Linked DNA regions of Callithrix jacchus. The protein of the gene in region 1 interacts with the protein of each later gene in a biochemical or structural test. Links are inferred from orthologs where the notes say so. Each region holds a gene or a part of one and is shown in the gene's direction. Other genes may lie near its edges.

Region 1 (9,099 bases):
TCCAGCTAATTTTTTTAATTGTATCTTTTGTACAGATGTATTCTCATTATGTTGACCAGGCTGGTCTCAAACTCCTGGCCTCAAGAAATCCTCCTGCCTCAGCCTCCCAAAGTGCTGGGATTACAGGATTGAGCCACCATACCAGCCTTCATTCAAGTTGTATTATAAAATTGCAACAATTCAGTCACATTTTCAGACTCCCCTCTAGTTCTCTTGCTATTTCCACCACATATGCAATTACTTCTTCCAGTGAAATCCTGAATCTGTCAAAGTCATCCATGAGGGATGGAATCAGCTTCTTCTAAATTCCTATTAATGTTGATATTTTGACCTCCTCCCATGAATCTTAATGGCATCCAGAATGGTGAATCCTTCCAGAAGGTTGTCAATTTACTTCACCCAAGTCCATCAGAAGAATCACTATCTATGGCAGCTGTACCCTTATGTAATGTATTTCTTAAATAATAAGACTTGAAAGTTGACAGTACTCCTTGATTCATGAACCATCTACTCCTTGATCCATCTCTAGAATGGATGTCGTGTTTGTAGGCATGAAAACAACATTGATTTCTTTGTACATCTCCACCAGAGCTCTTGAGAAACCAGGCACAATGTCAATGAGCAGTAGTATTTTGAAAGTCACCTTTTTTGCTGATAAATGGGTCTCAACAGTAGGCTTAAAATATTCAGTAAGTCATGCTATAAACAGATGTGCCATAATCCAAACTTTGTTATTCCATTTATAGAACACAGAATAGATTTATCATAATTCTTAAGGGCCCTAGGCTTTTCAGAATGGTAAATAAGCATTGGCTTCAACTTGAAGTCACCAGCTGCATTAGCCCCTAATAGGAAAGTCAGTCTTTCCTTTGAAGCCAGACACTGATTTCTCCTCTGTAGGTGTGAAAGTTCTAGATGGCAGCATCTTCTTCCAATAGAAGACTTTCATCTATAATGATAATGTATTGTTTAGTGTAGCCACCTTCATCAATTATCTCAGCTAGATCTTCTTGGCAACCTTTTTGGCACCAGGGACAGGTTTTTGTGGAGGATGATTTTTCCATGGACCAGGGGTGGGGGTGGAGGGGCGTGGGGGTGGAGAATGATTTTGGGATGAAACTGTGCCACTTCAGATCATCAGGCATTAGAGTCTCATCCTAGATCCCTCACATGTGCAGTTCACAGTAGGGTTTGCTCTCCTGTGAAAATCTAATGCTGCTGCTGATCTGACAGGAGGAGGAGCTCAAGCAGTAATGCTCACTACCGGCCTATTCCCACTCCATCCCCTCCATCCACCCCCCACCCCACCACTCCCCACCTTCTCTGCTCACCTCCAGCTCTGTGGCCTTGTTCCTTACAGGCCAGGGACCAGTACCTCCCGAGGGCTGAGGTTGGTGACCCATGTTCTGGATAACTTGCTGCAGCTCCTACATCAGCATTTGCTGCTTCACTTTACACTTCTACATTATAAAGACAGCTTCTTTCCTTAAACTTCATGAACCAATCTCTGCCAGCTTCTAACATGCCTCTAGCAACTTCATCTCTCAGCCTTCACAAAATTGAAGAGAGTCAGGGCTTTACTCTGGATTCTGCTTTGGCTTAAGGGAATGTTGTGGCTGGTTTTATCTTCTATCCAGACCACTCAAACGTTCTTCATATCGGCAGTAAGGCTGTTTCACTTTCTTATCCTTTGTGTGTTCACTGGAATAGCACTTTTAATTTTCTTTAAAAAATTTTTTCCTTTGCATTCACAACTTGGCTGTTTGGTGCAAGGGGGCCTATCTCAGCTTTCAACATGCCTTCTGCACTAAGCTGAATAATTTCTAGCTTTTGATTTAAAGTGAGAGATATGCAACTTTCCCTTTCACTTGAATACCTAGAAGCCATTGTAGAGTTATTACCTGACCTAATTTCAATATTGTTGTGTTTCAGGGAACAGAAGACCAAAGGAGAGGGAGATGGCAGAATAGCCTGTCGGTGGGGCAGTCAGAGCACACACAACATTGACTGATTGATTGCTGTCTTCTATGGGTGTGGTTTGGGGTGCCCCAGAACAATTGCAATAGTGTTTTCAAAGATCACTGATCATAGATCACCATAGCAGATTTATGGAAAGAAAAATGATAAATGCAATCATATTGGTAGTGTTCTAGTCCTTAGGTGCGTTCGTGCATATTCACTTTATTGATATCTACCATAACTTCAATTCCATATTTATAAAAATGCTCAAAAAAGTGTACATCCTCTTTTAGCACTGTAGTGAGTCAACACTCCCCAACAAAAACTGGATTTCCTGAAAAACAGGTTAAGGCGGGGGGGGGGGGGGGGCGGTATGTTTTTCAGAATGCCAAAGGTCAACCTGTATCATCTTCTGTAAGTAAAATGTATGTATATGCATAGTTTCCGTTTTTTAAGACAAGGGAGTGTAATGGGGAATCAGCGTATAAAACTACCCCACTACCTTAATCATGAAAATCAATTACGTGCTTTTCTTTGATTTGTTGGCCAAAGAAAAAAATTACAACTCAGAAAACTTTCTTGGAGATGCATATGCCCAGTGTATCCAAACTTCAGGCTTGTCGGGTACAATACTGATTTACATAAAGTTCCTCTAATCAAACCTGAGCTAATAACTTACTAAGGAAAGAGTAATTGATCAGAGCCATCCCCCCAACTGGAGTCAACTTTCATATATGTTCTGATTTCCTTTATTTTGGGGGCAATTCATCCAAACTTCTAATTAAATGGCAACTCGTTCACTTTTGAGAAATGTTTCACAAGAAACAACAACAACAAAGCAGTTGAGGAGGAAAGAAAAGAGACACAGTAAAGAAAAAAAAATGGATGTAGAAGCTGAAAATACGTACAATTTACTTCCAAAAGAATATGCAAGATGGAGCAAAACTTTCAAGGGCTCTTTTTCAGTATAATGGTAGTGAGGAAGTTCAGCTTGAAAAGCCCAGGGCTTAAAAAAATAAACAATATGCAGGACCGTTCAGCTTCAGCAGAACCCACCGCAAAGATGGCGATGGGACGAAGCCCCTTCTGCGAAGCCCGTCACTACATATTTCCCACAAACCCTTCCGCGCAGCCCAGCTCGCGGAAACCTGCACGGCCGATTCCCGGTTACTGCGCACGCGCGGGACAACGTCACGTGCTCTCCCAGGGCTCGGCGGAGCTGGCAGGAGGGACCTTGCCACCTTCCGCGGCCGCGTCGCTTCAGGGCTCGGCCGGCGGATTCGCGCTGCCTCCGCAGCTGCAGGGCAGCTGGGGGAAGGGAGCCGAGCTAAGGGCGCGCGTCGGCGCGGCCATGGGACTGCGCCGGATCCGGTGACAGCAGGGAGCCAACCGGCCCGGGCCCTGAGCGCCTCTCCTCCGGGGGGCCTCGCCCTCCTGCTCGTGGGGCCGGGGCTCCTACTGCCCTTGCTGGCGCTGCTGCTGGCGGCGGCGGCGGCCAGGATCATGTCGGGCCGCCGCTGCGCGGGCGGGGGAGCGGCCTGCGCGAGTGCGGCGGCCGAGGCAATGGAGCCGGCTGCCCGAGAGCTATTCGAGGCGTGCCGCAATGGGGATGTGGAGCGAGTCAAGAGGCTGGTGACGCCGGAGAAGGTGAACAGCCGCGACACGGCGGGCAGGAAATCCACCCCACTGCACTTCGCCGCAGGTAACCCGGGCCAGCGCCCCCTCGCCTCGCTCTAGACCCCACCTGCGCATCCGGGGCTCGTAGGCCTGAAACCAGTGCTCCTCCACTCCTCGACCTGTCCCCTAAGGACTGTGGTCCTGGTGATCTCCCTCTCTTCCAGTGGGGACTGGGGAGATTGGGGGGTTGGGTGAGCGTGCCACACTCACTGGAAGTTTTTGGTTTGTTTTATTTTGTTTTTGCCGAGGGTGGAGGGTGGTTTGGGGTTTTGGCTTTGTTTTGTTGCTACAATACCTGTACCAACTTCCGGTCTTGTTACCCTAGAAGGCGTCTACACACAAGAAAGAGTAGGGGACTTTAGTAAATAGACCTATGATTTAAACGATCAGTTACCTCCAAAATTTTTCATTCTGGCAAGTTCCATTTGGATTAAGGTCTTGAAGGACTTTGTAAAATGCAAGGATGTAATTTCGGAGGAGTAGTTTAATAGGCCATTGACACATTAGCGTTAATTGATTTATCAGAATAGCCAATCAGCAAGTTTCTGGAGTGACTACAACTGGAAATAGGCAAGTTTGGGAGAACTGAAATCTGACTAGGCTGGGTGCGGGAAGTCTTTGACACACACACACAAGTTGAGGTGGAAAGTAGTAGTATAGTAGAAAAGATGGTGCAAGTACTTTAGCTTGGATCTAGAATATAAGCTGAAACTAACCTTGCTTCATTTTGAGAATTAGATCGTTTGAATTACTTTCTTTTAATATTTATTAGGTTCACTTTATGATGTAAGCATATTAAATTTAGTCGAAGAATTTAAAAGAACCAGAGATGGGATAGTCAGCTTATTCCCATAAAGCATACATATTTTTCACTTGTAGAAAAGATCATGACAGTTTCTAACTTCAGGTGAGCCATGTGTGATTGAAAATCGGAGTACCTCCTCTTACCTCCGACCATCCTGGTTTTTTGTTTTGTGTATTTCATGATTGTTAAAAACAATTTTTTTGAAAAAGCAGGGAATACCTTTTAAAGTGTTTCTGTTCTTTTGGGGCTAGATTGATGAAGAGAAAAGGAGCAGTGAGGAAGATTTCCTCTTTCACAAACATTACTTTTACACTTTCTACCAATTGGAGTTTTGTTCGGTTTACCCTGTTCCGGGTTTTAAATGTAAACACTACCAGGAGGTATGCTTTTTTGATCAATTGCATCTTTATTGGAATTTCTACTGGGGAGTCTTTTTAAGAAAAGAAAGTCTAGGGAACCTAGTCGGAGAACTAGAAACAGTTTCTGGGCAATAGAAAGAGAAGGAAGAATACTTAAGTCAAATCACACCTAGTTAGCCGAAATTTTACCCAAAATCTTGATGGTAAGTGCTGCTGTTCTTCAGCCAATTCAGATTGTCCTGTTTGACCATGTAGTTAGTCAACATTTAAACAACTGATTTGGCAAACTATCACCACCAACTGATACATAAGCCAAAGGGTAGGGTTACTTAAAGTCTGTTCATTTGATCTGTGGGATAAAAATAGCCAAGAAAGATCTTAGTTGCTACCTTTCAAGAATTTGGTATATTAATGAGTTCATATCTGAAAATAGTAATATTTAGAGGTGTAAGGTTATGGGTATTAGCTCAGTGACCTTGTTCCTTCTCTAACTTCCTACCCTCAGTTCTGTTCCAACATTTCAGAGCATTTTTTTACATAGATTTCATTTTGTTTGTTCAAGTTGAAATGGAAGACTTAATATTTTGGAAACCACCCACCCCTCACAACTTACCCAAATTATCAGGTGTAGGTTATAAGATTAATAGTTACAGGTATGAAAGGGGAATAATAAAAATTAACAGGGGTGGGGGGCGGGGAATCTTCATTCAACCAGAACTTGTAAAGTCCTGTACTTAAATCCAGGCATATAAGAAACTTTTTAAAAAATTGTCTTTGTAAATTTAATCTAAATTTTAGGTTTATCAGAGAGAAGTTTTTTAAGTGCATCCAACTAACTTTTCACTCAATATGTGGAGAATACACTGTGTAATCTCTTGTAGGTAGGTAGTGAGTTATCTGTCATCTTAATGTGCCTGCAAGCATGCTGTTGGAAGTTCAACATAGGTGGTAGTATTATATAACTGCCTGACCAAGCAGTTTCCTGTGTTTGTACATCAATCATAGGGTGAGCTATTGGAGAGGCTGGGGGACATTATTATTTTAAAAAATTTTTTAGCTGATTAAAGTTTGGAGGTTTTATTGGGGGAAGGCATGTTTTTGTCGTTTTGTTTTGATTCCCAAGTAATATTAGGACTGAGAGGTGCACACAGACCACAAAAAATGAAAATCAGTTTAGAAAAAATTTGGTTTAATTTCATCCTCAAAAAAGTTAGTTCAATTAGAAAAATAATCAGTTGCCAGCACCAAGACAATTAAGTTCTGTTAATGAAAAAGATAGTCAACATGAACAGAAATTTTCTACTCCTAGGTGTTTTTTTTTTATTATTGAACTAGATTGCATGCTTTTCTTCTAGATAAATATTAAAGAAGTAATTTCTTAGGAGAAAAATGACTGAAAATTGTTTCCTTTTCAGTCTGCCTGCCACTTGCCCCCCACCATACACAGACATACATACACAAGATAGGAATGATTTTTTGGCAGCACATAATAGAACTTGTAGAGGCAAGTTGGTGGTAGTAGGGTAGGTGTTGTTCTAATTTTACTAAAAGCAAAAGTATCTGGGATTCTTAACAAGTTAATGCCCTAGAAAACAGCAAATTTCAGTAAAGAAGACTGCTTCTCTGAACTTACTTCTAAAAAGTAAAGAAGTGACACAAACTTGGGGAGAAAGTCATCTTTATGCCCATCATAGAAATGAAAAAAATATGTGGCATTCCTTACAATCTTAGAACTCTTGGAGCAGGATAGGAGCTTGCATTGTAGAGTCCTACTAAACAAGGTAACACTTGTTTTATATTTATAGTATGTTATGTTACTGTTAGTATGAGTATGCTACTGAACCATATACATTGGACCAGTTAGACCGAACTTGGATTATTATATTCAAGTCTGTGAATCAAGTATAAGGGATTTTTTTTTTTTATCCAGAGGAGGAAAGTAGAATCAGAGCATCTGAAATTTATTGCACAAGCATAGATAGGAAAATTTGTGCTGCTTATTCTAGAGATGGAAGAAGACTACACCATGTTACTGTCTTCACATGTGGAAGAATCACAAAGAGTACGTAGATATTACTTGTCAAAACTAAGGCCAATAGGTGAAAGGTTAGAAGGGGTCAGACAGCCTTTAACAATATTCAGCCATTGAACTGGCTGAAGTATCCAAGCAGTGGCTCTATTGGCTTTTTTCAGAGATGTTGTACAGAGGATTTCAGCCTAGTTCAGCGAACAGGTTGGTACAAGAAAGTGGGAAGATTTCCCTCCAATTGAAGGTTTTAGCTGCTCAACTACCAAAGATATACTATTTTTTGTGATTGCCATTCATATCCTTTCCCAAAATGATAACTATTGGAGACCTCCAATAACCTTTCTTTGGCTGTAGGTCAACATCATAGTTGTAAGAGATGCACAAAATTTACTCAACCTAGAACTACAATTATAGATTGTTGTTTTCAGGATTGGTTTTTGCTATGGAATGTAATTAAATCATATATGTATCAGCAGGAAACCCTAGTATCAAATAAAGATTAGTCTGTTTAGGAATTCATAATCTTTCTTTACTTATCAAATCTCCCAATCTATTTTAAGATTTTGAGGTATACCTTTTCCCTCAGCTCTTGCTGAATTTAGAGGTAGACAGTTGGCTTCAGTAACAAGAGTTTGGAATACTCCTTTCAGTATTCTCCGGACAGTATATCTATCCCAAGTAGAGATGGGCAAAACCCTCTCCTTTGTATTCTTCATTCTTAAGAAACATATGTGGGAAATAATTTTGCTGGATCTTAGGAAACTAAAGTTAATAGTAAATGAGGCCCAGGCACGGTGCCACACACTATAATTCTAGGACTCTGGGAGGCAAAGGCAGGAGTATCACCTGAACTCAAAAGTTCAAGACCAGCCTGGGCAACATGGTGAAACCTCATCTCTACAAAAGAAAGAAAGAAAAAGAAAGAAAAATGAATGAGCTGGGCATGGTGGCACAGGCCTGACACTCTGGGAGGCAGAGGCAGGAGTATCACTTGAACTCAAGAATTCAAGAGCAGCCTGGGCCACATGGTGAAACTTTGTCTCTACAAAAAAAAAAATAGAAAAATTAGCCAGGCATGGTCTATAGTCCTAGCTACTTGGGAGGCTACAGATGGAGGATTACTTGAGCCAGGGAGATCAAGGCTGCAGTGAGCCGAGATTGTGCCATTGCACTCTAACCTGGGCAACAGAGGGAAACCTTGTAATATAAAATAGTAAATGAGAAGTTTAAAATGAAATTCCTCAGAAAAAATCTGTCACTAAGCATCCTGGCTAAAGGTTGCTTTAAAGCTGTTTGATTATACCTTCCAGCCTCCCAGACCACAGGAGCTTTCTTTTGTGGCATTTGTTGACATTTTTCCAGAACTTTGCCTTTGGACAAAACCCTGTGTGATAGCCTACCTTTAGATATTGCAAAACATCACCATCTCGTATGGGACCAGTTGTATTATCAGTTATTAATCCCACCTTTGGACTGTAAAAGACAGGAGGGGGTTAGCACTTAAACTTCCCAAGAGTCTAAGTTGGTTTCTCTATAGTGACTTGACTGCCTCACAGCTTTTGGGAAGCCATTCAGATGAAAGCATGTTTCCAGTATAACAGCAAAATATGATACTATAAATAATAGTCATGGTTGGCAAGCAGTACCTGGAGCTGCTGAAACTGATGGCATCTAGATAAGTAATAAATTTGACAAGAGACTGCTTTTCTTAGTTGTCACAAATCATTAACACCATATTCTTTGTGAGGGTCCTTTGCTATTCCAGCAGAGTATTATTAGACAGGCATTAAACAAACGTTTGTCAAGTCCTTCTATATGCCAGACCCTGACCTTGTCCCTGAGAAAACAGAAATGAACAGGACACAATACTTGCTATTAACTGACACATGGTTAATGTGGTCAACAAATACACTTTACAAATAGGCCTGCTTTGCTTAACTGTAAGTACTTTACAGTAGATTCATACTACATATATGGTTTCATCAGAATTTTCACAAGTAGAGCAGTGTTGGAAGTAGAGTGCTGTTCCATAATTACAAAATAAACTACAGTGTGTCCTGAGCAACCATGACCACCAACTTTATTTAGGTTTCTGGTTCCTCATAAAGAGATCCTTAGAATATGGAGATTGACATTGAGTCTGAAGATATGCCTCTTCGTGTTCTACCTGGCCAGTGAGAACGTGATCAGAATCAATGACCCTGCAAATCATTTTTTCTTCAAGAAATTGATGCTTAACAGAAATACTTTGAACTGTTTTTGAGACCCAA
Region 2 (9,160 bases), on another chromosome or scaffold:
GGAATTTCTGAGAAAAGCCTCCCCTGCTCTCAAGAAAGACACACAGAAGAGTAAGTTCCTTCTTCCTCCCCTGCTGCAGCCAACTTTTGACCATATGGTAGTCTAGGCTTTGGGAAATTGCTCAAATAGAGGACTGAAGAGTGGGGAGAGGTAAGTTGGGCTCTTGATGAAGTTGGTGAGCTATAACTGAAGATTGTCTTATCTCTGGACTTGTTATGTGAAATGATAAATGTTTAAGCTAGTTTTACTCAGAGTTTTGTCTTTGGTAGCCCAAAGAATCAACTAGTATATCACTGTTCTTTCCAAATAATAACCTTTCATTTTTTTTTGCCTGTGTCTTTTGGCTAATGCCTAAGCTCTACAAGAACTTTATTAGATAATTATTATTCTGTGCTCTAAACTTTTCTTGATTTAACTTCAAACATTACTAATTAATGCAGTGTATGTGTGCTGCAGATGGGTTACAAAGGCAATGAGATATTGAGTCCTTCAGTCCTTCGGATGGCTGGAAATCTTATGAGGGTCAGATTTGTCCTGGCAGGAAGCAGCTTCCATTTATTCAAGACTGCTGAACAAATAACATTTTCAAAGGTGTTCACTGAATTACTGTTGCTGCTTATTTCAAAATAATTAGATCATTTAGTAGGGCTGAATCCAAATTCCCTATGGAATATATCAACTAATTAAGTCGGAATATTTTATTAAACAATTAATGGAATAAACTTCTAATAGCTGAAATTAGCTATATTTCCATCTATGCCATATCCCTTTGCTGAATTGTTGTCATTGACTCCAATTTGCTTGTGGAAATTGGGAGGCAACAGAAAACTCTGACACATGGATTTAGAACACAGATGGTCCGAGTTCTGGTCCATGCCTGCTCCTGGATAGTGAGTAAATATTCTACCCTCTCTAGACAGTAGTTCCCTCCTCATCTGTTAAATGTGAGGCTCAGATTTGCTGATCTATGTTTCACCAAGTGTTTTATTTTGATAAAAATATTCTTATATTCATTGATTATCAAGTTTGTCAGTTCTTTATAAACAAATGCAATTTTTTTTCAGGGTGCTTATATTTTTTCCTGTCATGCTATTTATTATGTATTATAATTAACTCTCCAATTTATTGGTTTTCAAATGTTGAATAGTAGACCACGATGATTCTGAAGACAGTAGATGGATATAGCAGACAATGTCACATTATTTCATTTGATAATGAATAGTAACTTCATAATAATTTAAAGTGTCATATTCTTAAACTAAAGAGGAAGTTCTGTGTGGGAGGATAGGCAGGTGTTAAAGATAAAAACATAATGGGTTTTGGTTGTGAAATTAGGCTCTATGAAGTCAAATGTAAAGCAGTTTCCAACGAGGCAAAACAAACTTTATTATTATTCTTTGGCTCCTAGGTAGCATTCTGAAATATTTTGACGTTTTGGTTTACTATTCTTACTTCCGATACAAAACCATGTCTTTTTTCTGTTGTTTTGTTTTGAGATGGAGTCTTGCTCTGTTGTCCAGACTGGAGTGCAGTGGTGTTATCTCAGCTCATTGCAACCTCTTCCTCTGGGGTTCAAGCCATTCTCATGCCTCAGCTTCTCATGCCTCAGCCTCCCGAAGAGCTGGGATTATAAGTGTGTACCACCACGTCTGGCTAATTTTATTTTTTTGTATTTTTACATGTCTGTAAAGGGTCCTTTATGTCTTGTGGGTGTGAAGGAATGGAAGGGGTGGGAGACAAGAGGTAGGCAAAGAAATTATTTGTCTCTTTGTTAAAAAAATTTCAAAAAGACCATAATGATCCACCTATAGTTGCTAGTGCATTTTTACCACAAAAGTCTGCAGAGTTGGGGTATTTAAAACAGAACACTAGGTAACATGTTTCACACTCAAAAGCATGATACGACCCTTTACAGGTGAGGTGAGGTGAGGCAATTTAACAAGCTGCAGTGTTTTAAATATCTCCTATACTAAATGCTTTGGTTGCAAAAGTAACTCCAAGGGAACATGACATGACCTAAAATATAGAGAGAAGAGTGTTATTTAAGCAATACAATGTGTGAAGTATGTTAACAAAATCTAGCCCTGCATATACTATATAATTTCTGAACTGGGATATATCAGCCCCTATGGTTCACTATTTTTGGTTCTGAAATGCCAGTACAAGGGGCCAGTCTAAGGGCTCTGATTACCTTACACATTAGGGAGATAGCAGCTCTGAGGTATCATATGATACAGACACCTTTTCTGTACTGATCAAACACATCATTCAGTATGGAGTCATTAACTGAAAGGGTTTGCAGCAGTGGAAGTGAACTTAAAAACTCTCAACACCACTACGTCCATTCACTTATTCATGCAAAAATTATTTACTGTATACTTACCCAGGCGTTGGTGATACAGCCTTAAAAAAGATAAAGACTCTGCTCTCACAGAGCTTGCATTCTTGAGAGGGAGGCTGATAATAAACAACAAATTCAAAACATTGTTTCAGACAGTGTGAGTGCTGAGAAGGAAATAAAGCAAAGCCAAGGCTTTATAGTGCAGACCGTGTTTGTGGCTATTTTACATGTATAGTCAGAGAAGGGTTCTTTGCAGAGGTGACATTTGAGCCGAGACATAAATGACAAGATGGAATCAGTAGGCAAAGCACTAAGCAGAAGAAACAGTTGTGCGAGGAGCGTGCAAAAGGTATGATTAACAATGATGGATGGAACTTGGCGACTTCCAAGAACAACATGAAGGCCTCTGTGGCCAAAACATGGTAAGCATGTGCTGATGCGGACCCAGAGTTGGGCAAGGAGTTTCATTTTTATTCTAAGTGTAGCTGGTATCCGCTGGAAGTTTCAAGTAGGCGCGTATTGTGGGGGATGTAATACAATAGACAGTTTAAAATACAGTATTGCACTTTGACTTAGTGCTGGTCAAACAACACCCTGACCGTCCCTCTTTGCTCAGGCTGTTTGCGCTCGCCGCGGCTTGTTTGTCCCTGGCACCCTGTTGACAGCCTCGGAGCGTGTGACAGTTGGCAGGCGCAGTGAGGTGCAGCTCGAGCCAAGTCGCTGCAGGGGCCGGGGCTGAGGGATGGGAAGAGGCAGAGGAGGCGGTGGTGGCGTGCTCGGAGGGCGGTGGCCTCTGCGGCGAGGGTGGTGGCTATGCGCACACCGAAAGGGGGAAAAGGAAGCGGGCCCCGACCAGCCTTCTCGGGGTTCGCGGGGCCCTTGGCGGTTCGGCCCCGGAGGTTACAGGGGCTGTCCGATTTGGCACTGTTAACAATGGTGGCTTGGGGCTAGAGGCAATGGCGAGAGTGCCAGGGAGCAGAGGTGACTAGGGAAGTTTCGGTTTCTCGGGCCTAGCACCGCGGAGCCTCGCTGCGGGCCCCAGCGGTGTCACCCCGGGAACCGCAGGTGTTGATTTAAGGCTCGGAACAGGCGGGCCTTCTGCCCACATCCTGCTGCGTCCGCGGCCCTGGCAGGACGATCCGGCGCCGGGTTTTGTCATCCGCCCGCACCTAGAGGCCGCGCCCGCAGCCGCGAGTCGGGGGACTGGACTCCTGGGCGCCCTCGGCCCAGCAGGGTCCCCGCCTTCTCTTCCGTCTCCTCCCCACCACCCGCAAGGGACAGTCGGTTGCGGGCGGACATCTCTGCAGAAAATATCTACAGCGCCCGCTCCCTCCGTCCTTGGAGAAGTGATCCCTCCGCGGCTAATCTCCCCAAGGAAACCGGCGATTCGCAGTTTGGATAGCGACCTTCGCCCGCAGGTTCCTGCTCTGCCTTCAGACCTCGGCTTCAGTGGCACCTGCTCAGCGAGGCATCTCCTCACCACGCCATCCGAATTAGCTACCCACTCACTGGGCATCACATCACTCGATTTAATGCGCAGCAGGGCATTGACTTTACACTGGTGTGTCTTCTGTGTTTATTTATGATCTGTTTCTGGAATGACCGTTCCTGGGACTGGGACCCTGTTTTTCCGGCGCAGTGCACGTGGCTCGGAGTCCAGGATCGGGCGGGTCGCAGTAGGGCCCCGCATTTGTTGAGTGACTGAACTTGGTTCCCCTCCCGGGAGGGCGCCGCAGCCAGGGCCGCTTCAGGTAGGGGCGGGACTTTCCGGGTCCCGCCCCAGGCCCCGCCCCCAACGCGAACCCCGCTCCTTCCTGGCCCTTCCGCGGAGCCTCCGGGGGTCGGACTGTGCTTTTCCCTCTAGCTTCCTAGCTCTTTCTGCAGCCGCCGCGAAAACCCGGAACGGCGGAACCATCGAGCAGTGGAGCGGCGACGCCCCTCGCGGCACCTCCCCGGCAGCCCTCCGAGGCCGCGCTGGGCATGCTCAGTCGGCAGGGCCGCCTCAGCTCTCGGAGTAGGAAGCTCGGGCGCTCGGGCTGTGAGGAGCCGCGGCGGGGGTAAAATGGAGCCCTTCACCAATGGTGAGTGGGCGGCCGAGGCACCTGGACACGGGCTCTCTAGAGCCCCGAGGGCCGTGGGCAGTCGTGACACGCGGAGTCGGGCTGCAGCCATCTTCCCCCCGCCGGCTTACCACGAGGGCTGGGGGAGGCAGGGAGATGGGATCTTGGGGAGGCAGGGAAATGGGACTTGGGGGGGCGGGCGGCGGCCTTTGCTGGGCCCCGGGCTCGCGTGAAGGTCAGCGCCGCCGCCGCAAGCCCGGGGTGCGGCCGGTGGGCGAACCTCAAAGTTTGGGCTGCTGCGCGCAGAGGAGTGGGCATCGGGAAAGTTGGCAGTTCAGGTTTGCCCCGGGAGGAAGCGGTGTCGGCCCGACTCCTGCAGGAGCGTTAAGCTGTGGCCGCTGCCCAACCCAACTTTTGTGGGGCGCCCGGAGCTGTCCCACTGCCCTTCAGTGAGCTGCCGGTGTGACTTTTCCTACCAGGGCGGGGGTGGGGGAGAGGGTGGGAGGCTTGTTGTGGAAGGAAGGGAAACTTCAAGAAAGGCTCGCTCACCCGACTCGGGGCCTCAGAGATGCCTGACCGCAGTGCCATCCTCCTGGCCCCGCCAAGGCACTCCGCAGGGCCACCATGCTTCCCCCTCACCGGCTGCAGGTCCCATCAGTTATTCAGTCGAAGACTTGTTAATGTCAAGGGTCCGTCACGGTGATAACCACAGTGTGACAGGAAGCGAGAGTCAACGCAGGGAGCCTGCCTGCACCCTGCCGGTAGCCACTGCCCTTTACTGAACCGGGAGCATAAATCCTACCCTAGTTAAAACGATAGCTTTTGTTCTGACCACAGGTGCCAGAGTCACAATATAGGGGTGAGATGTTTTACCATTTTGCGGCGCTGAGTGTGTGGATTTCCTTTTAAGATAGAAAGTAGGAAAACTGCCAGTAAGGGAAACAACTCACTAAAATTAGAGGATTCACTCTCTGGTTTGACATGTTTTCCTGAGGGTGGTTGGTTACTTCAGGTGGAGTATCGCTTTCAAAGGCTCCACTGTCTATCACTGTATAGGTATGTTAGTTGCCACCCAAGGGCAGACAGATATTGTCCATTATATCCCAAATCCCAGCCAGACTTTGTTGTATGCTGCGCTTCATTGATGGGGCTGCGAACTACTGATTATATTCTCCCTTCTCCTAATGTAGAATGCTTTATTCTACTGCCATCTTTCTGTCTGTACTGTTTAATTAGGCTTACTGATAAGAACTTTAATTCTGAATTTTCTTTCTCATTCAGGTCCTATTTGTAATTACTAAGACTCAAAGAATAGTCTGGTGAAGTTACTCGAAAAATTAAGGAAGGTTTGAGCTAAAAGGAACTATAGAGACCATCTAGTACTTCAGTGTAAAATATGTTAAATACAAGTTGTTAGTCCTTACAAGTGATTATTCAAGGGTTTATTCTTTGTTCTTGGTAGAATGCTTGGAGTTACCATGTTTGTAGGATTTTAAATGTTAAATATCTCTGTGACAAGGCTGACTCACCCATTTGGTCAAGATTAGTGCTAGCTGATTTGCTGAACCTTTGCTTACAATTATTAAAGCACTTTTTCGAGTTTCAAAACTGGGGTCTTTTCTCTCATAGAATATGCTTCTAGATATGGGTATTTGCAAATTGTCACATTTGGGAGGACAATGGAAAAATCCCACAGAAGAGAACAAAGAAAGAAGCAATGCTTCGACTTTCATGTAGGAAACTGTATTTTTGATTCTTTCCTATCTGTCTTTCAGAGTTGATGCTGGAGACAGCTTGGCAGTGCATAATTTTGGTTAACGTAGCAATCATTCTTTGGAACCTTATTTAGCATCCTTTTACAAGGAAAATAGAAGTGACAACATCTACAGTCAACAATAAATTCGATGTTAGCAATTTGAAGTGCATTTCAAGTTTAAGATGGACAGGGTATTTATTTGAAAACTTGAAGAATTGTAGAATTTTCTAGTGTTTTCAAACGACGTGGTACAGTAGACAGTTACATACTTCATCCTTCTGAGTACAAAAAATATGCATATATAATGCTCTTATTGGTCTGGGTGTGACGATGCAGAGTATTTCATTATCCACAGAATTTATGATTGCAAGATTTTTCAAGCCTGGTATTGGATTTTGTTACACGTTCATCCTCTTTTAATGGAATTTTTCTCACTTAACGCTTTCTCATGTATCCCTGTATATGTAGAGAGGTGTGGGAGCTTAACAAAAAACAGTTTCAGTAATTTAGGACTGCATATCTTTTAGTTAAAATCTTGTTAGTGGTTCCACCTACTGACTGATACATTTGTAAAGAAAGTGAATGTAGTTTATATCTTGTCCCTCTGACCTTCAACACTCATCTGTTTTCTGTCCAAAGTTGCTACTGGTATGACCTATTTTTGTTGGGCCCTGCTCACTCTCTACCTGTTGATAATTGATTCTTTTGATGAATATCCTATGTTAACCTGTTCAGGGAACATACTTCTACAATCCACTTAAAATGCATATCCCCAGAAAGGGCTTATAAGGATGGATCTTAGTGCTAGGAATTCCCATTTAGGTCAGGATCGATTTTTGGCTTTGTCCTTGGGAAAAATTGCTATTATGTTGAAGTCTGGACATCTGGTCTGAGTTTGGATCTTTGGTGGCTTTTTTATGATGAGAGATATGCTGGACCAGTACTTAAGATTGTTTTGGCAATAATGACTATGTCTTGTTAGGCAGGTGGAGGTAAACTGTTAGGTAATAGTGATTTGTATATTAAAAAACAAACAAACAAAAATTGAAGGCAACTATGTTTTTTGATAGAGGTATTAGATTAAGGTAAATTATTTGATGTTTATCCAGCTTTTTTGTCATCATTTGTATGCAGGGTTGGTATATTTCGGAAAATCTTAAATTCATGTTAATAAATGCAAATGCCAAGGTTCACCCTCAGAATCTGATTGAAGAGGTCTGAGTATACATGGAATATATACTAGAAATTATGTATACTTTCTTTCTTTCTTTTTGAGACACAGCCTCACTGTGTTGCCCAGACTGGAGTGCGGTGGCATGATCTCGGCTCACTCTAATCTCCGCCTCCCGGTTCAAGCAATCCTCCTGCCTCAATCTCCCAGGTAGCTGGGATTACAGACACACACTACCATGCCCAGCTAATTTTTGTATTTCTAGTAGAGACAGAGTTTTCACCATGTTGGCCAGGCTGGTCTCAAACTCCTGGCCTCAAGTGATCTGACCACCCTAGCCTCCCAAAGTGCTGGGATTATGGGCATGAGTCACTGTGCCCAGCCCAAAGTATATATACTTTCTAGTTTGTGATATATTCTAAAGTAAATCTAGTGGTTGGTATTTTGAGGTCACAGAACCGAAAACATAATTTAAAGTTTTTTGTTTTTTTAATATGAACATAGGTCCCATGAATCACTTTATTACCACAGCGTGGTGCATAATCAAACAAGGAGGACTTAACTGTCTTAAAAAGTTATTTTTGTTTTCATTTTCAGATTGGTATCCAATTGAAAGTATTTTTCAACTTCCAAAAAGGGAAGTCTGGACAACAAATGAGATATTTGTGGCTTGTAACACAGTATAAAATTGTGATTCCATCTTTTAATCTTACACATGACAATTGCTCTATAGGTATGCATGTCTTTCTTAAAAAACTTTTTAGCATTACTTCTCAAAAATGTGAGCATACCACGTATTGTTTTTATTTTTCTCTTGCTCTAAGGTAAATTTCCACATTGAAAGAAAACCCTTAAGAAATTGGAACTTGTAATTTCTCTGTGTGATGAAATATAAATTAAAACCTGTTTTTATCTAAGTTTTTTTTATTTGGGGAAAAGAAGACTATTTGGAATCAAGTGTTAGCATCACTAATAATCTAGGGTTAAAGCTGTAGCTAGAAACAGCCCAGTTTTTAACTGGAAACTAGTAGTAGAAAAGTTCTTTGCTATTACCAGTTTCCAAAGAGTGTCTTGATACATGCATGAAAACAGCATATTTTAGAAACTCTTATAACCAGTGATTATCATTTACCTGTTTATATTATATTTATCATATAGCCTGAAAGATATATAACCAAAAAGATTGGTTGTAAGGAAATTGTATAGAAAATAAGTAAGGGGTAATTTTCTGCTCAGTAATTCAGTCGTACACCCATCTTTTAAATGTCTACTCACAAGTAGATTTTCTGCTAGGCACAGTTACATTTAAAAAAAAATACAAACTTGTCATCAGATAATGCGTACCTAAATAAGAGAAATGAATTGAAGAACCTAGTTTTGTTTTCATGCTAATATGAAAATATGGACACACAGAAGAAAAGCGCAATAAAGCTTTGTCTAAGACAGTATTTTAATTATGAAATAAATGTACAGAAACTTGTTCATAACTGTATAACTTCTGTTACCATAGGCTCACATGTTTACTAATTTAGTGTAATAGTCCCACTAGGAAACAGCAGTGTTAACCCACTCCATGAAAACATTAGAAACTTGAGATGTGGAAGAATTTAGCCAAGATTACTCCAGACGTTGGGATGGACCTAGATGTGGCCTGTGGTTCTTGGCAGTTCAGGTGAGGTCAGTGCAGCTATGTTTTGCCAATTAGTTACTTCATATCTTGAAAACTGTAGGGCAGCGGTCCCCAACCTTTTTGGGACCAGAGACCAGTTTCATGGAAGACTGTTTTTCCACTGACCAGGGTCGGGGGTATGTATACTTTCTAGTTTGTGATA

Evidence for each region.
Region 2: the proteins of TNKS2 (region 1) and LNPEP form a complex in vitro, tested with the Homo sapiens proteins (4 studies listed by BioGRID and IntAct, with this or other methods). The link is inferred for Callithrix jacchus from reciprocal best matches to the Homo sapiens genes TNKS2 and LNPEP.

Annotation. Positions count from the first base shown.
Region 1 is NC_133513.1:84,571,990-84,581,088, forward strand, and holds the start of TNKS2 (poly [ADP-ribose] polymerase tankyrase-2), read left to right. Parts: upstream 1-3,154; 5' UTR 3,155-3,462; coding exon 3,463-3,661; intron 3,662-9,099. UniProt on the Homo sapiens protein: Poly-ADP-ribosyltransferase involved in various processes such as Wnt signaling pathway, telomere length and vesicle trafficking.
Region 2 is NC_133503.1:113,667,074-113,676,233, reverse strand, and holds the start of LNPEP (leucyl-cystinyl aminopeptidase), read left to right. Parts: upstream 1-3,593; 5' UTR 3,594-4,403; coding exon 4,404-4,422; intron 4,423-4,950; exon of another isoform or gene 4,951-5,116; intron 5,117-9,160. UniProt on the Homo sapiens protein: Release of an N-terminal amino acid, cleaves before cysteine, leucine as well as other amino acids. Degrades peptide hormones such as oxytocin, vasopressin and angiotensin III, and plays a role in maintaining homeostasis during pregnancy.